Linked DNA regions of Arabidopsis thaliana. The protein of the gene in region 2 interacts with the protein of the main gene of each other region in a pairwise test. Each region holds a gene or a part of one and is shown on either strand. Other genes may lie near its edges. The genes, in order: AT1G76600, ATB' DELTA, RECA3 and AT1G21010.

Evidence for each region.
Region 1: the proteins of ATB' DELTA (region 2) and AT1G76600 interact in a two-hybrid assay, tested with the Arabidopsis thaliana proteins (one large-scale study listed by BioGRID).
Region 3: the proteins of ATB' DELTA (region 2) and RECA3 interact in a two-hybrid assay, tested with the Arabidopsis thaliana proteins (one large-scale study listed by BioGRID).
Region 4: the proteins of ATB' DELTA (region 2) and AT1G21010 interact in a two-hybrid assay, tested with the Arabidopsis thaliana proteins (one large-scale study listed by BioGRID).

Annotation. Positions count from the first base shown.
Region 1 is NC_003070.9:28,744,364-28,749,077, reverse strand, and holds AT1G76600 (poly polymerase), read right to left. Parts: upstream 2,246-4,714; 5' UTR 2,104-2,245; coding exon 1,453-2,103; 3' UTR 1,230-1,452; downstream 1-1,229.
Region 2 is NC_003074.8:9,514,678-9,521,024, reverse strand, and holds ATB' DELTA (serine/threonine protein phosphatase 2A 55 kDa regulatory subunit B prime delta), read right to left. Parts: upstream 4,073-6,347; 5' UTR 3,285-4,072; coding exon 2,157-3,284; intron 2,071-2,156; coding exon 1,765-2,070; 3' UTR 1,462-1,764; downstream 1-1,461. Other genes in the region: AT3G26040 (HXXXD-type acyl-transferase family protein), read right to left, coding at 1-1,284; AT3G26020 (Protein phosphatase 2A regulatory B subunit family protein), read right to left, coding at 4,440-4,745, 4,949-5,059, 5,271-5,303, 5,436-5,639, 5,727-6,347. UniProt on the Arabidopsis thaliana protein: The B regulatory subunit may modulate substrate selectivity and catalytic activity, and may also direct the localization of the catalytic enzyme to a particular subcellular compartment.
Region 3 is NC_003074.8:3,132,965-3,138,863, reverse strand, and holds RECA3 (RECA homolog 3), read right to left. Parts: upstream 3,992-5,899; 5' UTR 3,881-3,991; coding exon 3,818-3,880; intron 3,623-3,817; coding exon 3,559-3,622; intron 3,483-3,558; coding exon 3,265-3,482; intron 3,156-3,264; coding exon 3,068-3,155; intron 2,842-3,067; coding exon 2,669-2,841; intron 2,592-2,668; coding exon 2,445-2,591; intron 2,344-2,444; coding exon 2,209-2,343; intron 2,077-2,208; coding exon 1,795-2,076; 3' UTR 1,447-1,794; downstream 1-1,446. Other genes in the region: PAP16 (purple acid phosphatase 16), read left to right, coding at 1-30, 312-804, 891-1,059, 1,144-1,362; AT3G10130 (SOUL heme-binding family protein), read left to right, coding at 5,706-5,899.
Region 4 is NC_003070.9:7,344,229-7,348,683, reverse strand, and holds AT1G21010 (poly polymerase), read right to left. Parts: upstream 2,529-4,455; 5' UTR 2,446-2,528; coding exon 1,813-2,445; 3' UTR 1,401-1,812; downstream 1-1,400.

The DNA.
Region 1 (4,714 bases), on a different chromosome or scaffold from region 2:
ATTTTCATTTGGAGTCTTGTACATAAGTTGGTGACATAATTATTTACGAGAAATCAGAAGAAAAATTAGTTATTGTTGTCGCCGCCAGAAACAGCCAGTCATTGTCGGAGACTTTCCGGTCACACGGAGGACTAGCAGCCCCATTTCGAATCTTAAGGGTTCACACAAATTCCATAAAAAAAAAAAAACTAATATGACAAAATATACCACGAGACTTTTCAATAGCCCTATTTTGGATGTGTCATGAGATTGAGATCAATGCGCCTCAAAGGAAAAGAAGATGAATTTTCGTTGCAGATTACTTTGCTAGTGCGAGCCAAATATTTTCAGGAATTTGTATCTCGTTTTTTTTTTGGGTTTAATTTACTTTAATTTATGAGGAGGGACAATGTATGATCAAAGATTAGTGGATTAGTTTTGATTTTAATTTTTAAGATTTGTAATATCTAAATTAAATTCTTTTGACAAAAAAAGAACTAAATTAAATGATTTTATTCTTTATGCTAACAAAAGTGTATAGAACAAGTGAATAACTAAATATCAACATGTATCATGTGTTGGTTTGAACACGTACAACTAAATATTTTTGTCAAACAATTTATATGTTTTAGATTATATTTGTACGTCATGTTTTGATCTAAATTCTAACATTTGGACTCAAACTTCTTTTAGTAGCACTGAATAGTATCATTGTAACTAATTGATTGAACAATGAACTAACCAGGATGTGGATAATGATATCGAGATTTTTTTATAAAAAAGCTTTTGTTAATAGTTTAATACATTGCAAATATCTTACATCAAAAGTCTAAAGACTGAAGCTTAAATTGATTAAAATAGACTTAGAACGTTAAATCCCATTGGCCGTGAAGCCAAAGCTTCCACTGGTCTCCTTTCCGATCCCACCACACCCATTAAATAAACTCTTTACAATGGAAATTCGAAACTTTTTCTCCAAGTCATTTTTATTTTTAGCTTTCCCTAACAATTTAGTTCCATTTGTGGAAATTTACAAGGATTATCTCCTTGACTCCTCATGAAATATTTTTTATTTGTTACTTTCATTTGTCTAAAACCATGTTTCCTAAAGTGGAGCTTAGACTGATCCACATAAAAATAATGTTATAAACTCAATCATCGGATCGATCAAACTGGTGACTCATGACTTACAAGGATCAATTTCATCTTATCGTTTCAACAAAATTTAATAATATATCATAAGAAAGTACGTGTATGATAGAATCTCATGAAACTACGCAACAGTGTGACTGAAATTTGATTTTTGAAGCTATCTTATAAAATATAAGTACACATGACATAACAAAATGGGAAAATATACAAGCAAAGTGAAAGCTGTAATTTACAGATCATATTGAAACAGCATTACACAAACATTTTTCGTAACGATAACAACAAAAACAAAAAGAATGTAATCTTAGTTTTATAATCGCTCTAATTAAACGAAGAGCCTTCGTATATAGTAGAGAGTCTCAGTCTAAACGATCGAACCGCCAATTTAGCTCGACCAGACGTATATCTTTTCAATTTCCTAACCGAACCAGACCGAGAATAACCGTTTGTATCTTTAAACGGCGTCGTTCTATTCGGTAACTTTCCTTTTTGCATCATCATATTCGTTGCTTCGCCTCCAATTCTGTTGTTCACGGCGGCGATCCGATTATCGTTAGCCTGATTCAACGTCACAACCGGAGAGATTCTTCCGCTTCTACGACGGCGATTTTTCTTCCCCGCTGCTTTCTCAATCGCGACGCTGGCTTTTACAGCGAGAGCCGCCATATCCGAGGCAGAGAGACGGTATTGTCGTTTAGAGATGGGAAGGACGAAATAGATCTGATTCGCTTGAAGAATCTCATCAGATTCAATCGCTGGGATAAAATCGTCGTAGTAGAGAGAATCGGAATTACATAGAAAATAAGAAGAAGATGATGATGATGAAGAAGAAGACGTCGATTCAGATTCCAGAACCTGAGATGCTAACACCGGTACATCGTATTCACGGAGATCGCCGTTAATTGTTACGATTTTAGCCGTCGTCGACGAAGAAACGTACTCGTTTCGATTAACAGATACACAAAGACCCATTTGATTTTTGAAGTTCTCGTTATTTTGTTTGTAGAGAGAAAGAGAGATTTATTGATAGCAAGAGGAAGAAGAGAGAGGAGGACGCGTATATACAGAGTTGGTTCCAGGTAGGATATATATAGAAGAAGATGGTGACGTCAGCATTTTATTTAACCGGTCGTTACAAGAGGAAGAAACGGAAACCAAATTACGGTTTGTGTTTTTTTTTGTTTAAACCGGAAGCTGACGCGTATGCTTAGCTGTGTGTGTTGACTGTTGTGAGAGTAGTCTTGTTTTACAAGGCCAATATTAAATATTATTTCTTATTAAAGTCAAAAAATGTTTGACTGATTTAAAAAGTATTGTTAGGTAAATTTTCTATTTTTAACTCACTGTACAAATTGTCCTTTAGTCCGTACTCAGGATTAAGTTTATTTATCTAAATTGGTATAAGAGTATCTATTAGTAGTAGTAAATACCAATTCAAATTGACCAGAGAATGTAGTCAAATGGTTCATATGATTGTTGATGGATACAAAAAAAAACAGTGATTTAAATTGAATTAGTTATTTTATTTTGGTTAAATCGTTTCCTATTGACTATTCTAAACTCAAATGTAATTTCATATTGATTAGCTAGTGGAATTTTGTTTATAATTTATAGTAACTGATAATTAAAAGGACCACACACCCATAGTAAAACGTGTGGATACAATAAATACGGTTGTTTTAGATGAATGTTCTGTATATAGTGTGAATGTGATGTACAGTTGTTATAATACGTAGATGTGCGTGTGTATATAGATAGACTTTCTTATCCATATCTCTACTATGCAAAATTGACCTAAAAGTATATTAAATTGTCAACCCAACTAGAAGATACGCAAATTTGTCAAAATAATACATTTACACTCGTTGTATGAAATACATTAGATTGACCTGAATTTGTAAATATTTCCGAAATTAAAGAGGAAGTTTGACTTCCAAATAATTCACGGGTTTAGGTAGCAAACGTTTTGGGAAATTTAACAGATTACATGATCCGTACGAATGAAGATATGTCAGCAATGACGTGGGCTTCGAAGCTCTCAGCCGTAACACGTGACTCAAAATTAGCGATAAGGAGACCAAACAAAGACAATAAATAAATAAGCGTGGGGAATAAGGAAACCGCAGCTACCTTTTTTCTCTCCTTTTTAAAAATGTGAAAGACCACAGCAACTTGTATTTGACTATCATCATGCAAATACTATTTGATAAAGCTAGTGGTACAAAGAAACGCAAATGATCAAATCAATGACTTTTATGTATAACGAAATGCTATTTTCAAGGTTGTGTGTTTCCTAGTACAGTCGTAATGATATTTAAATATACAAAATACTAGTATTTTTGAGTAAAGTTAGGTTCTGTTTTTGAGTTGAGTCGAATTTATATAACAATCGATCTTATGGAACATCTTTCACATTTCATGGATAGTGTCATAGTGATGATTGATGAACATTACAACTTGTAAAACTGTAAAAATGCTTTAATTTCACTTATTTTTTTCCTTGTAAATCTGGAAGATATTTCCATAAGCCTTTATCTTATTTTCACTTACCGGTAACATTTTTTGTTCAATAGATTTCACCTTATTATAAAATATATATATGAGACAAATTTAAAATTCGAATACCAATTAGACAGTATCATGCATGTAAGTAGTTAGGACGTATATATACTTATGATTCTAATATTAATTATCCAATTCACAGGAAACAACTCAACTGCAATCTACTATTCTACTTTACCAATGTAGTTCTTATTAAAAAATATCACCTTACTCATGCTGCCTTGTATATGTATATATGAAATAGAAAGGACTTTTTAGTGGAAAATGAACTTTATGTATTAAACTTCAAAAGTTTCCCCATTGCTGAAACCCCTTTTTCAAAAAAGAAAAATCTTTCCCCATTGCGGAGTAGTGTATTTAGTTAATAAAGCCGATGATTATTTTAGTAAGTCTATTTAACATAAATGATTATGTAATCATAGGTTTTCTGTCACTTCGCTGTCATAACATTACTTAATGTGCAACTATAAACATGTGTTTGGATTAGATTAATTATGTACTTTTGACATTTGTATTTAAAATATGCTTCTCAATAATTCGCTAAAAAAAGAATACATTTTAATTGATTAAGTAACTTTATCATTGCATCTTAGTATTATATTTCCATCACTATAATATAATGGGAATTGATAAACTATTCAAAAACTTAAACTATATACAGGATAATATCCAATTGAATTATGTTAATAAAGTCCGAAGCTGAATGCTAGGGAACACCGTACGCATTTAGTTATTACCATCGAACCGAGTAAAGTCGAAAAAGGTTTCGCAGGCCATGCAAAAAGAAAGAAGCGTTCACGTGTTCAGCCGTTAATACTAATATGAACTAACTAACTACATTAGTATTTAATGCTTAATATCCCCCGACCCCATTACAAAAATACTCGAATCTATAATCCAATCATCCGAGTGATTTTCCTGAGGTTTAGGCAATACTTATTTTGTTGGACTATTGTAAATTTTGTAACGGTTAGAATCTAATTTTATTGATTACTGATGAGAATTCTGGTGATATTATCAT
Region 2 (6,347 bases):
AGCGAATTGGAGCAATTCTCTATCTTGTTCAAAAAGATTCATCTCTTGTTCATTCAGATTCACCCAAGCTTCAATTCCACCAGCTTCTTTCGTGTCGAGAAGCGTCACGATGTTCTTCTGTCTAACCGAAGGAAACCCGACCCAAACCGGTTTTCCCCAACCGAAATCGGTTTCGTATAAACCGAATCGACAAGCACTTGAGAATATGTAGAAATCGAAATCTCCACTTGCAATCATATCTCCTGCTTCTTTCTGGTAGCTACAAATGATCTCTGTGGCATTTGGGTTTCCTACAAGCTTTGGTATATGGATATCTCGAAACCTCTGTTTCGCTTTTCGTATTTTCGAAACCAAAGTTTGAAGCTTTGTTTGGTTTATTCCTTCCTCTGCTTTTGCTGCAAAGTAGCTCACTAGATTCCCTATTGAGTTCTTTGTAAATGGTGGAGAGACTCGTGAGCGTAGACTCACGGAGTTTGCCAGAATTGACGGTTTCGATGTTCCTGAAACTGTTCTTGTAGCTTTCATTGCAGATTTCCATATAAGAGCTGAAACAGCTTCGACTCTTGTTGGTTGATTCACTTCAAAGCTTGAAGCTTTCGCTTGCAGAGCTTGAATACTCGAAGAATCGAATATGAATCTCTTCGAAAGAGTCTGATTCATCATGATCTCTGGCTCAACCACTGGTGCAGGGGAAGTCTCAGAGAAGTTTCCAGGTGGGAAGATCTTAACCGTGTCGAAAACCGGAGCTCCAATGGTTTTGATCGACCCTCGGGACGAGATTGCAGCCCAGCTCTTCATGAATAAACCGATAGAAGTTGCGTCAGCGAGTTTATGAGAGATACAAACTCCTATAGACATGCTTCCACATTCAAAGAAACTCGCTTGAGCAAGAAGCAGTCTGGTTCGTGTCTCTATGGAATCAACAGATGTAGGAATCAGTTGTTGCAAGCTGTCAGAAGAAGGCTCTAGTAGGAGATTCGAAAGCGGTGAATTGACTCGTGCTTCGAGGAAATCAGCGCCTGAGTCATTACAATCGATACTTATGTTGCCTTTGAGCCGTCCAGCGAGAGGGTAGAAATGAGTTAAAGTTTCGGATAACGACTTCTTCAGCATCTGCAATTGCTCAGTTGGTTTGATGCTGTTGTTAGCTGAATAGAAGAAAACCATAGGACCAAAGATCGTTGGACCGAGCTGTTCTAAAAGAGAGAGTTTAAACTTCTTTAAGTGGTTTGGAGTTGGAGATGATGGTTTGATGATATCTCTGGAGACAACATCAACTCTCATCTGGTGAAACCTCCTGACGAAAAACCGACTAAGAGTCATCGCAGAGAGCTTTTCTTCGGTTTCTTGGTTAGAAGAATAAACCTGTTGTAACAGAACCTTTTAACAGACAAAATCCAAAGATACTTGCAGGAAAATGCCAACAGATCCTCTGTATACTAAAGGACGAAATCATTATTCCAGAAACAATTTTTATATTAGAGCAATCTCTTTCACTGATAAACTAAGTGACTTCAGACAATAGAAAATTCGTGTTTTCATAACAAGATGTTTACATGAACCAAGTATACAGACAAATCAAGAACTGAAAAAGGTAAAATCTCACACTGTTTAACTGAATTAAACTAGTCTTAAAGTCGAAACCAGATACTTAAATGAAGCAAGCAAAGCAAAGTAAATGTATATACCTTTCAGGCGTAAAGGAAACAAAACAAAACAATAAACCGATTTCTTGTTGAATCACGTAAAGTGCAGAAAAAACTCTTACTTCGCCATTGAAGCAACAATCTCCTCTAGCTGTCTCCAGGTTTCTCCATTCTTCTTTTTAGTATCTTCTGCTTTTTGCTGATCTTCTTGGAACTTGTGCAAACATTCTTCGAATAAATCAGGATTTGTATCGGACAAAACCTTGAGAACATTCTCTGTCAAGTTCTTCACAGCCTGATTCCAATGGCTGCTACCGTTTTTCTCCAAAGCGGGAAACACTATAGGTAAAATGATTCTACTGTTCTGTCTCACTAAATTAGTGACATGATCGTTGTTCCATAAGTATAAAGCCCGTTCCGCTACCTAAAAACACAGAAGCAGTTGAATTTTATGAACAATTCAAGAATCTAAGAATCAGGTAAATGTACCTAATAAACTCTTAACTGTACCTGAAAGTGAGAACTGCTCAAGCACTGAGCAATTTGGCGAGAGAGCGGAACCATACACCGTTCAAACTCTGTTAATTGAGTTGCTTCTAGTATCTCCTCCAATTCATTCAAGAACATGATTTCTTTAGCGCTATTAGTAACAGGCCAGTACTTCAACATCCCTCTAATAACGGTATCCGCGAGCTTACAATCTTTCTCAACAAACTGTATAACGCAGTAAGAAAGCTGTTGATGGTAATTTGGTAAGCATTTCAGCTTGTGCAGAGGAATCAAGACACGAGTAAGAAAGAGCTTGTGTTCTTCCTTGAGTGGTAAAGCGAATCCATTGATGATGGATCCTAAAACTTCAAGAAACTCGGCGATTCCCGAGTGTTTCCCTGTCTCGAATATAAAATCATACAAGATGTTGTTCATAGTTTTCCTGATGAACGGGCGATGAACCATAAACCTCCCGTAGATGCGGTGAAGTATCGTTTTCAGATACTCTCTTTCCCTCGGATCTTCAGAATCAAACAAATCCAATAGCTTGAGAACGAATGTATGATCGATGTATTTCTTGGATATCTTGGGGTCTGTGTTGGGAGATGCAACGATTCTCAAAAGGAACTCATAAACAATCTGCAAGTGAGGCCAAGAAGGATTCAAAGATCCTTCTTCTTCTTCCAAATCCAATGCCTCAGGAGTTTTGTTCTTCCATTGTCGATGAGGATTACTAAAGAGATTCGCCGAAATCATCTTGGTAGCTTCTTGAATAACTGATTCAGGGAACTTGCCATTCCCTGAAGAGATAACATAATCCACAACTTCAAGAAGTGTTTGCCTTTTGATCTCTTTCTCCTTGAAGTTCTGTTGAGGCTCAGCTACAAAATCAAACACTAGACAACATAGTCTAAGCTTCTTAAGAAACAGTTCTTGCTTCTCAGAGATGGAAACATCTCTCAACCTTGGCAATACATCAAAAGAAGAAACACAATCCAAACTAGTATCTCCATTTGATGACGTTCTCTGGCTTAAAACTTCATCACCTCCTCCTTGATTGTTGTTGTTATCTAGAGTTTGGGATTCACCATTATCCCAAAACTTAGCAGAAGTTTTCTTAGGAAGCTTCCCAAGTATCTGCTTAAACATCTTCTTCGATCTATTTAGTCAAACTTCCTCAAACTCAGATCAGATTCTTCAAAAACAGATCTCAGAAACTAAAAACCCGAATTGAAGAAAGATAGTGAAACACTCCTAAGATCATCTCACCACGCATAAGAACAACTCTTGTGAACATAATAGATCTCGAGAGATTATGAATCATCCAGACAAAAGCAAAAGACGAAAAGCAGACAAAACCATGACCCAGAAGGTAAAATAAAAAAAAGGTAGTAACTTTATATCATGAATGAAGCGCGTGAATCGTTTCTGGACCCAGATAGCAAGATCTAGATTGATGAATCATAGAAAGAAGCAAACTTGGGTCAAACCCAAGTAATCTAAACAATCGAAGAAGAAGAAGAAGAAGAAGAAGAAGGAAAGGGTTTAGCTTTTCATAGCTATTGCTTCGTTGGCATAGAGAAGAAGAGAGAGAATGGATAAAGATTAGAGAGTAAAGAGAGAGAGAGATAGAAAGAGAGGATGGTGACTGAGAGAAGACCCTAAGACCAGAGAAAATTTTCACTGACCAAGACAAGAAACAACATCTCTCGACAGTGTTTTTTTAGTTGAAGTCATAACCATTAAAAGATTCAAATCCAACCACTAAACCGATCTCTCCATGAAGATCTTTTCAGAGTTCCTCCTAGACTTATGGAGTTCGTAACCAAATCCACAAACCCAAAATACTCAAACCAACAATTTGGTCTTCTCTCTTTGAGTTTCTGTTGAAAACTTAAAAAAACTTTTTTTAAAAGGTGTTTTTTTGCTTATAAAGATACGATTTTTTTTCTGATACAACTGAAAATACAAAAGGCCAAATCCTATAAGTGCAATATTTGCAGGTATCATGAAAGCAGAAGATGAATGAATAAGACAAGTCTCAAGAAAGTGGAACAAGTGATGATCATACAATGTAGCAAAAATAACCCATTTTAACAAGCAGGAAGATTTAAGAGGAAACAAGAAATAAAAATAATGGAAATCAAAACAGGAACAATCTTACATCTTTGAGTTTCCTTTTTCCTTCAAACCAAGAGACCAATATGAAACTTTTCTCTTCTCAAGTATGTATCTGAAGAACAACATGTCAATAGAAGATACAGAAGCTCTCTTTCTCTCTCTTTCTTCTCTACAACTCTAACTTTATGAAGCCTTTCGCACTCCGAGTTCTTCCAAACGTTTCCAAGTGGCTTCACGTTTTGCTTCGGTTTCAGCTGCTTTTGATTCATCTTCCTTGAACTTTGCGAGGCATTCTTTAAATAACTCAGGGTCAAGGTCATGAAATATCTTTCGCACGTTTAGTGTCAAGCTATGAACAGCTTGGTTCCAATGTTTCTGTGCGTTTCTCTCCAACGCTGGGAATATAATTGGAAGAATGACTTTACGGTTTTGCATTATCAGATTCTCAATGTGATTGTTGTTCCATAAGAATAAAGCTCTCTCTGCAACCTGCGAAAACCAGACAGAGCATGAATAGACTGAAACAAAGATCCTGAACCTACTAGACTGATCTTTTCCCGTGAAAGATCGTATGCAGTCACTGTTTAGCCAAAACAGATACCCTTCAACGCAATACTTTTTCTTCTTTTGTAACTTTCTACTTAACAATAGCCTTACTATATCAATTTAGCTTAGAAATTGCCTTGAGTAACACCTAGAGCTGAATATAACAGTCCTAAACATTGATACTTTCCATACCGCAAAATCAACTCTTCCATTTGCTCGTTTGATATAACTGGTAGGCTATAACGACTTCTCATAAGCTGGTAAGGTAACACAGATATACTGGCGAAACACTAACACAATTAAAGTATGTAACCATAAGCCTTATTTAGCTAAGAAACTGCATCAGATATTATCCAGAACACAATACAACAGTCCTATACGTAGATACTTTCATTACCACAAACCCAACTCTTTCATTTGATCTTTTTATATAACAATCTAATAGGCTAACATAAACAGGTGAAACACTAATGCAGTTAAAGTATGTCGAAACGATATGGCCTGCAAATGTCAAACCCAACACTAACAGCAACAGAGCATTTTTCAGGAAATGTCAAAGCACGGGGAAATTCGCCAGTTTAAAAACAAATGTGAGGTGCTATTATTTCAGAAAGAATGGAGAATGACAGGTACCTGAAAATGCAGACTGTTCAAACATCGAGCTATTTGGCGAAACAGTGGTACCATGCACCGTTGAAATTCTGGTGGCTGAGTTGCTTCGAGTACTTCCTCCAACTCGTTCAGAAACATGACTTCTTTGGAACTGTTTGTCACGGGCCAATATTTCAACAATCCTCTTATAACCGTATCAGCAAGTTTGCAATCCTTTTCCACAAACTGTGTGATACAATAAGACAATTGTTGATGATACATTTGCAAGCATTTTGGTTTGTGGAGAGGTATCAAAACTCGAACAAGAAACACTTTGTGCTCGTCTTTCAAGGGAAGAGCGAATCCATTGATGATACTTCCCAAGATTTCTAGAAACTCAGCAATCCCATTATGTTTCTCTGTTTCGAAAACAAACCTATAGAAGATGTTGTTAATGGATTTCCTGATGAAAGGTCGGTGTACCATAAATTTACCATAGATCCGATGGAGAATGGTTTTCAGACAATCTCTTTCTCTAGGATCCTCGGAATCAAATAAATCCAGTAACCGCAAGACAAAAGATTGATCTATATATCTCTTAGCCAGCTTGGTGTCAGTTTCAGGCGAAGCAACAAACCTCAAGAAAAGCTCATACACAAGCTGCAAGTGAGGCCACGCAAGATCCATGGAAGGTTCTTCCTCCTCCAGGTCTAAGGCATCGATAACTTTATTTTCCCGTGGTTGAGGATTTAGCGTTCTAAATATGTTAGCAGAGACCATCCGAACGACTTCTTGGATACCGACTTCGCTAAACTTTCCATTAGGAGAATTCACATAATCCACAAGCTCCAGCAATGTCTGCCTCTTAATATCTTTTTCCTTGATGTTCTTTGTAGGATCCGTGAAATCAAACACTACACGGCACAAGTTCAACTTTTTAATGAACAAGTTTTG
Region 3 (5,899 bases), 6.4 Mb from region 2:
TGTCCGCCGTTCTCGACGCTGAAACTCCAGGTCATCAATCATCATGTCACACTGACAAGTTACCGTACAACAATTTTCTACCATTATCTCTCATTTTGATATGAGTAACGTTATTTGGTGTAGAAAGAGTGATAACCACACAATAAGATGTGGTTTAGCTTTGGATCGGTTTGTTGGTTTGGTTTAGCTACAGAAATTTTGATTCTATTAAAACGCCACGTCCAAACACAAATATTGACCTTCAATTTTCTTAAAAATGTTGTGAGATTAGCTTTAACTGAAATAACCGTTTTTTTTGGAGATATGAACAGATTTTGTGGTCTATTTGGGAGATGTTGTGACGGCTAACAACATAGCAATCCAAAACGCAAGCTTGTTTTGGGACAAAGCAATCTCTCCTACAAGAGACAGAGGCATTCCATGGGCTACTCTCTTTGGTAACCATGACGATGCTTCTTTTGTTTGGCCTTTGGATTGGTTGTCTTCCTCCGGTATTCCTCCCCTTCGTTGCCCTGCAGCATCAGATGATGATGGATGCACGTTCAGAGGAACTACGCGAGTGGAACTGATTCAGGAAGAAATAAAGTCATCCAATGCACTCTCATACTCCATGATTAGTCCTAAGGAGCTATGGCCAAGCGTATCTAACTATGTCCTTCTTGTGGAATCATCGGATCATTCGAAACCACCCGTGGCATTGCTATATTTTCTTGATTCGGGCGGTGGTTCATACCCGGAGGTTATCTCAAATGCTCAAGTGGAATGGTTTAAAACCAAGTCTAATACTCTTAATCCCTATTTAAGGTATGAACCAAAACATTAAAGCTTTTTTGGTGGGAAAAACTCGATCATTCGCTAAGTCGATATCGAAAGATGTATATTTCGGGCAGGATCCCGGAGTTGATATTTTGGCACATACCTAGTAAAGCATACAAGAAAGTAGCTCCAAGGTTATGGATAACAAAACCTTGCGTTGGATCAATCAACAAAGAGAAAGTTGTTGCTCAAGAAGCTGAAAATGGGATGATGAGAGTTCTTGAGAACAGATCCTCCGTTAAGGTACTAATTATTAAACACGAAATTGCTTAACACTTAGATACTGGTTTGATATAACTTTAATGAACTATATTTTTGTGTAAGTAGGCAGTGTTTGTAGGACACAACCATGGACTAGACTGGTGCTGTCCGTACAAAGATAAACTCTGGCTTTGCTTTGCGAGACACACAGGTTATGGTGGATATGGAAATTGGCCAAGGGGATCAAGGATTTTGGAGATTTCTGAAATGCCCTTTCGTATTAAGACCTGGATTAGGATGGAAGATGGATCTGTCCACAGTGAAGTTAACCTAACATATGATTAGTCTATTTATCACATATGTCAAACTTTGTAGAAGTAATAGTGCCTATAGTTGTTGGTAGGTTTGGTCACTGTAAACTTGTTAAGTGACAAGAAAAACTGCTTTCCATAAGCCAATAAATGAACTGATGATTGGTTCAAGACAAAAGGAAAGAATGCTTGATAAAACGGTTCAAACCCATTAAGGAAACCGGAATCTCTGCAGTATACATGATGGAGAATCTCTAACAAGAACAATGACTATGATGATATCATCTAATGACAACCAGCTTTTGCACATCTTCTCTGATCCTCCTTTTAGTTAGCATTCCCTAACTGCTTCTGTCCCTTCCACGTTGTTTAATAGGGACGTCAGGGTTGATGAAAAGCTCAATTGGTTTTTGGCTTTATCGAAACATACACATTTGTTTGGAGAACTCGAAATACATTCCCTCTGTCACATCTTGAAGAGCTGGTTCCTCAGGATTGCAACGACAGTATCGAGAGCCTCTTTATTTTCCACCAGATACTTCTCAGCTGCGTCTTTCCCTTCAATGACCTCGCCTTCAATGAAATAGCTAGTTCCTTCTCTTAAGATAACTCCATGCTCACAAGCCAATTCTAATACCTCTCGCTCCACGTAGAAACCATGACCAAAGTGAATCCCCAATTCAGATTTCTTCTTTCCGGGCGCCAGTTTATTCTTCACCACTTGGACGCAGACATTGAGACCACTTATCTGAGGAAACAAAGCAATCAAATGATAATAAAGATGTTACTGCCCTTCGCAGAAATTATGCATTATTTTAGAGATTAAGGCAAATCAAGCTTACAGTAACACGTACAATGGTAACAATGTGCCTAACTATACCTTATTGGCAGTCTTTATTAGCCCGGTTCTTATCATTTTGAGACGTATAGCTGCATGAAACGGTAATGCGTTTCCTCCACAAGTCACTTCTTCGGCGTGCGGGAAATGCATGTTAGATTTCACATGTGATCTGACCTGGATCAGGTAAATAAGCAGAGAGATATTATCTTTGGTAGGTGGGTCAATACGATCCAACTAAGTGAGCAAAAGAAAGTAAACCGTGATATTTCCTTTACCTGATTAAGAAAAACGATCAGTGTCTGAGAATAGCCAACTGAGTAATGGATTTTTCTGAGCGCCTGTGTCATTATTCTTGATTGTGTGTCTCTGTATCTTTCTCCTACAGGAGCATCAAGTTCACATTGAGGGGCAAGAGCAGCAACCTGTAGATTCCACTTTTAATATTAACAGATGCAGAAAGAATATATGAACATATTGAGATGAAAGAATGAGAACTCACACTGTCTACCACAATTACGTCTACTGACCCACTCTTGGTCAGCACATCAACAATATTTAGCATCTTTTCAGCAGAACTAGGTCGTGATATCAGAAGCTCTTCTGTGTTCACACCTATTGATTCTGCTAGAGAAGGATCCATGGCATTCTCTGCATCAAGATAAGCGCAATAACCTGGCACAAACAAGTCTTTTAGATAAATAAAAAGCTAATGGAGTGAAGAACAAAAGCAAGTCAGAATCAAACTGTAACTTCACAAAATCGAATCTTACTTATCGCACTAGAAACAAGAAAGGAAAAAGTAGAAGATATGTGTCCCCAACTTAGGATGGATTCTAGTAACAAGTCCCAAGGTTTCTGTTCAAACAAATGTATTGAGAATGGGATTCAAGAACAGTACCTCCAAGCTTTTGAGCTTCCTTGATGATATGCAGAGCTAGAGTTGTCTTTCCAGATGCTTCTTTTCCGTAAACCTCAACCATTCTTCCCTACACAAAAACCAACAAAGTTCTCTTGTAAACACACATTTAGAGACCTCATTAATTGCAATACCTTTAGCTTGGCTAGTCCTATCTGAGACTCTAAATTAACAACAACCTTTGGCAATCCTCCAACTCCAAGAGCTAGATCAAGGTTGAGGGAACCCGTGGATATCACAGAAACTCTCCTTTTTCTGTAAAACCGCTGCAATGACAACTTAGAGTCTTTATCAAAATCACCTGAAAGCTGTGACAATGCTAAATGTAGAGCAGTGTCTTTCTCCGCTACTTTTCTATCATCTGGAACTTCATCAAGTTCACAATCTGAAGCTTCAACTGACCAAACGAAACACACTCATAAAGACAGGATACAGAGTATGGAAATCAAAAGACAAAGGAAATTAGTGATTACCTAAAGACGAAAGATAACGATTTTCATAGCCAGAGCAAGCCAAAACGCTTCTTCTTCCATTCAGCTACAAAGCAAGATAAGAGTAAACACAAGAGACATTTGTTTAGTCAGGAGCTTGGGCAAATCATCAATGCTACTCTAAAGGAGATAACTTTATTTTGGTTGGAGTGTTGTCCTAATTTCTTCATCTGAAAAATAAAATCTTTCTTTCTTATACTCAAGCTAAGAATTGTTGAGAAACATTAGAGACGAAGAGAACCTGAGATAAGTAAGAGAAGAAACGGAATCTCTGAATCGGACTGGCCCATGAGAGTCGACCCATGCCCCGTTCTTCTTCAAGCGGCTCCTCCTTCGCTGTTCAGTTTCAATTCCACAGTTGTGTCTTCTCCTTTTCTACTAACGATCTCCAGTTTCCGCCATGGTCATTGTCCTTAAGAGGTAAGACCTGAACCAGAAGTGGATACATAAAAATCGAAAACCGTATTAAACCGATCGGTTCATGGCTAATGGAATCTAATTTAACGGTTTGATATGAGGACCGGAAAAGAGGTAACAATTTAAGGGAGGTGTAACTTTAGTCTTTTTTTTTTTTTTTTTTTTTTTTTTTTTGTGTGTAACTTTAGTCTTATCCCGAACATTTTGCTCAAATAAGATTTTATTTTTCTATATAATAATAAATCTGAGAAGATAAATCCCTAAATTAAGATTGTTCATGCGTGGAGCATAACCTAAAGGTCTAAGAATGTGGAGTGCAAATTCAATAATGAAATTGTTGGTTCTCTTGCTTTTGGTGGACGCTTCATTAATATTGAATCGTATCCTAAGCATGAAAACATATCCAACACATAATTCCGAGGTTTTCCAAAGCAGACGCTTCATTACGTTTGACTTACGTACACTAACTGGTGATAACCAGCGAAGCGGTGTGGATCCTGCTTGCATACCAAAATCAAAATGTGATGATAGAGTGATGGAAATAGGTAATACTCCAGATTATCACAGTAGTAAGTTCATTGATTTGTTGGCACATCTTTAAACTTGTAAGCTTTTTATAATTACTTTATTTTGTAGGTATATGGAGGAGACCGCGTACTCTTTACAGACCTAAAAAGTTCGACCACGAGATTCATGACGAAGAAGAATTATGAAGTTGTTGGTGCTATTTTCTTAAATTTTTTGGCGATTGGTTTTGGTGTTAATTATCATCATTTTAATGTATTAGTTTGTTTTTATTTGCGGAATATCATATGATTAATTAGATGGCCCGAAACGTCTGGTACGTAAGAGTAAGAAGATATGAAAGCTAGGTGGAGTCTTGTGCTATTGACAAGTTCTCGACCCTTGTAAAGTTGTGCTCCTCCTTCATAATGCCGTAGAGACTAACACACAAACTGCTATTTGGGAGATAAAAACGAAAAGAGGAAACAACAAGGCTAAGCGGTAATGTCCAATAGGATCCATTCAACTTCATTAATGTGAGATAATAATATTTTTTTAATTAAAAACTGTTACATTATTTAGTCGTATCCCGAATATTGTGTTCAATCTTACGAGGAAAACGTCGTTAACCCTAGTCCAAAGCGTTTACGAAAAATAAATGGGAGCTTCTTCTTCGCTTTATAAAAAGTACTAAATAAAGACTGAAAAGATATAGAAATCCCTAAATATTGATTGTTCCTGCGTCTCCGAGCATAATGTAGGTGTTTCTAACAATGTGGAGTGTATATGCATGCAACGGCGAAATTGCACTTCTCCTTGCTTTTTTGATGGATGCTTCACTGGGTCGACATTACGTTTTAAATGTATCGAAAGCCTAGCTAGTTACATAATCACACTCTTTGCAGTAATAAACCCAAAGTTTTTCCGACATATCTTCTTCACAAACATCACATATGAACTTTGCACCGGTGTGTTGTAGAGAAGAGTGAGTGGATGTTCGTCATCTTCCCGCTCCACAGTCTCAGGGGCCTTTGTGGACTTAAAAAAATAAATAAGTGAAATTCCAAAGGGAGATAATTAAAAATCGATTTGGTATGAGAAAAATCTACCGGTATGGTATGAGAGAACCAAAATCGAGCGGTCGTTAATAATTAGAACGAAAACAGAACAAAGAGAGAACGAAAACAGAACAAAGATTGCGAAGAGAAATGATGATGATCAGCTCCTCCTCCATTACATCATCCCTTTCTCTTCTGTCTTCATCTCCTGAGAAATTGCCCCTCATAAACCCTATCCAGAGATGCCCAATTACTTACTCCGGCTTCAGAACGGCGAGCGTGAACAGAGCTATCCGGCGGCAGCCGCAGAGTCCAGCCGTGTCCGCCACTGAATCTAGGGTTTC
Region 4 (4,455 bases), on a different chromosome or scaffold from region 2:
ATCTCGTGTAGGGACTCGCCAAAACTAAAACTAATTCAATAAAACAAAACACAAAATAACAAACGAATTGGAGAGTTGACTTTTTTATTTGTCTATCAATGGATTCAATAAGGCGAAAACACAAGGTCCAATAAGGCGATTTGGTCACTCGTCTAAAGACTTGACGCCAATTTTTTGGGTACATATCAACGGTCTAAATCTACGTGGCAACATAGACCTATCTCTCTTCTGTACACATTAGTATCTTTTTTTCATTGTCAAATGTACTAACAACATGACTAGAACGGAAAATGCAATAAAACCTTTATGGTAAACAAGAACAGTTTATACACAAATTAGATTCAGTAATCCTAGAAAATAGTATATACTAATATATAACAAAATTCTTATCATACTAATTAGTGGGAGAAAAAAAGAGTCATACCGTATTTATTTCCTTTTAATCAATTACTTCCTAATTTTATATGGTAATAATTACTGAGAAATTAATTTAGTTGTATATTTTTATTTTAGTATATGTATTAACATTGTTATAAAAGAATTGATATAGTTAAGTACACCTCGCCTACATATAACCTGTCATTGTCGGAAATTTGCAAGTCATGTCGGAGGATTTGCTATTTTAGAAGCGAAAAGAAAGAACATTGATATCTTAACGTTCACACCAATTACCAAATAAGCACCCACAATGTTCATATCATCATATGATACCAATACGGCCTCTTTTTTTATAAAACTGTGGTTTCATAGTGCCTAGTGGAATCTATATACTATTCACACCACCTCTCTCAGTTGAATATACTTTATCTATAGAATTCTCTTGATTACATCAGATATTTATTGCTTTTAGTTTATATTGCATGGTCACATACTATTTAATCACTATATTCATTAAACACGAAAGCACAAGTGCACAACTCAACATACAGTATGCTGAAACTACATTTGTAATGCCATAAATAATTCTATGCTAGTAAAAGATCGAGGACTAAGCAAAACTAAGATGACTTATTCAACATCTAATTGACATTATTATTTTTATATAATCAACAACATGCCTTATAAAGATTTGATCATTGGTAATCAACACATCATCGACACATCAAATTGAATCAACGAAAGCAAGTATCATTGATTTTCTAGCTTTTTCGACAATAATAAGTATAAGTAACAAAAAGTTTAAAAGGTTTTTTTTTTGGGTTCTTAAAAATATTATAATCAATAATATAAAACCTTAAGAGAATCTTTATATTTATAATAGAATATAATATCCAGATTATTATAATTAGACTGAAGCCAAGATTTTTGTTTTAGTGAAAATTCCTTGGTTGTGAAGTGAAGCCAAGATTTTTGTTTATTACATTTTCCACCTTAAGTTTTAACATTGAACCGTTCAAATCAAATAGTTGTTCAGTTTCATGAATTTAGCATCGAACTATACTTTTTCACGTAACTTTTTTACATTATATAATCAAAGACAACAAAAAAGATAAGCACATTCACGATTTATATCATCAAATCTTGTAGTGTATATATGGTTGGAAACTTAGGATGGTTAAATTGAGAAACATCATCATTCATATATAAGTTTGTTGGTAAACATATACGATCACTAGTCTATGGTACGTGACCCAAATACACAATCAAAGAAAAAATATACAATGTTTTCTTCATGAAAACTATTTCATCAGTTTATAACAAAACAAAAAAATAATAATTATGCTTCTTCTAATTATATTGTTTCATTTTCATTTTGCTAATTTTATTTGTTCCTCAAAATTGAAAGCAACTTAAGAAAAAAAAAATAACGATCTAAACGACGGAGCCTTCGTAGATGGTTGAAAGTTTTAGCCTGAAAGATCGAACCGCCAGCTTAGCTCGTTTAGAAGTGTATCTTCTCAAATTACGAACCGAACCGGACCGGTTTATCCCACTCGAAGCTTTAACCGGCGCAGTTTTACTCACAAACGGCCGTCCCTTTTTAACTGTCGTTTCACTTCCATTTCCGTTAACGGAATCGTTAGACCCCGTCAACATCATAACCGGAGAGATTCTCACCTTCTTACGCCGACGAGATTCTTTCTTAACAGAGTTTTGTATCGCGACGCTTGCTTTAACGGCGAGAGCCGCCATATCCGACGCCGTTAAACGACTCTGACGTTTAGAAATCGGGAGAACGAAGTAGATCTGGTCCGCCTGAAGCGGCTCTTCCGATTTGATCGCCGGTATGAAATCGTCGTAGTAGAGAGAATCTGAATCGCAGATGAAATATGAAGAAGGTCTAGAGGAAGACGAAGATGAATAAGCTGCCGCTGATTCAGCTTCCAAAACTTGAGATGCTATCACCGGAACATTGTATTCACGGAGATCGCCGTTAACCGTCACGATCTTCACCGTCGGTGAAGAATTTGAATCTTCCCGACGAAACGACACACAGATTCCCATTTTTGATTGAGATAACAAATTTGAAATCTAGAGAGAGAGAGAGAGGGAGTGGAGAAGATTCACGAATGTTGATACGACGCGTCGAGAGAGTCGGTCATGGTGGGGTTATATATAGAAGACGGGTGATAAAACCGGGTGATTAAATTGAAATTAGATAACCGGTTACGGTTTAATGTTTTGAACCGGTTGTTAACATGTAGTTTTTGTTTGTTGTCTGTCCATTAGTAGATTTTTGTCACGCATAGTAAAAGGACATATATAATGTTTCCTTAGTTAAACCTTCTAATTACATTTCGTTTTCATGACCTAATTACTCCGAATTATTTATTTATCTTGTTGGGTTATTTGTTACTATATAGTGTTATGTATTTTTTAATCTTTCATTGTATTTACATATTCTAAAGATCTTTCTGATTTTTAACTTTCTATTTCGAAGGATTTTTTTCATATATCAAAAGAAAGTTTTCAATCAAGGCAATTATATTCACACGCTTATACAGATTCTAAATATATTTAGAAAAATTAATTATATAAGTTGTGGTCATGTACATGTATGAGTGTGTATGCGTATCGATATTTTATTTTCTTTGAATGAATATTGCTCTTAATTATGGTTACTCTGTATCATTCAAATTTAATTGGATATATCTCTAAAGAACCATATTTATACGTTAAGTACTATGTGATCATGCATGTCAATTTCACTATAACTCACTGTAATCTATCAAAATTAATGACCTTTATCGAAAAAGACTATAGTCTATCAAACGTGATTAGTTTCGAATTTCACAATATTCTCTTGTGCTCCAGATTAAATCCATATACAAAGACTATAATCTATCAAACGTGATTAGTTTCGAATTTCACAATATTCTCTTGTGCTCCAGATTAAATCCATATTTGATATATGGATAGTTATTTTAAAAAATCTGAAGATCCATTTCTCACAGTTTATAACACATTAAAAAGAAAACTATACAAATAAAGATGCTAGAGTTATGGAAGCATGTAATTGTGATTTAGTGCATCTCTTCATTTATTTTATAGCATGCTTTATGTTTTCTTATTTTAATAAAGTTTGAAGCCGATAAACTATAAATATATGCAAAATATCCAAATCCAAATTTGATCGTTCATTACATAATTGCGGTGCAAACGAGGATTTCTCTCAATCCATATGACATAAATTGTTGCTCACTAGTCACTACCACCCCAATTGTATGATAGAGTCTTTGTAAACATATATATGTACTTTGTAAGGCTTGGAACGCATGAAGGCACGGGCCTCAGCTACAAAGCAAAGGAAGGAGACATCAACAACATCACATTCCAAATTTATGGTATTTGGATACTAAAAGGTAAAATGAAATAATTTTAAAAATCATTAGGGAGTTTGTTTGATGAAATTGTAATCAAGCGTGTATGTTAGCAAAACATCGGAAATAAAGAGAGAAAAAGATCAGCAATGTGAAAGCGAAATCAGCAACGACGTGGCACGCACCACGCGGCTCCCAGTAGTCAAAACACATAACAAGTGGCCTGTTAAACTCTAAATATCGCAACTTGTATTTGACTATAACGTACAATTGAACTAAACGGTATTTTAATTTACCCATGCAGATTTTATTATTGAAGAAATATCATAATTTTACTAGTTTCATGCAGTTTATCAACTAAGGCTCCGAATGGTAATTGTATTTTGCGATGCAGGAGAAGTGCGGTTCGGTTCAAATAGTAACAAAAATACATAGATACATATGAATATGTAGAGATTTTAATATTGTTACAACACTGTTGCAGTACGGTTTTGGGTGCGGTTTTGATTATCATTAACAGCCTAAATAGTGTTAATACAATCAGAGAGCATAAACTATATAATGTACTACTGTTATTGTTTATTAACTTACTAGCTTTTCAACTTTTTGGCGGCAGTTTAATTTATTAATTTGGGTTGGACCTTTAGAAACAACTCACTAAATGAAAGGAAATAGGGGAATTATATTAGAGCAA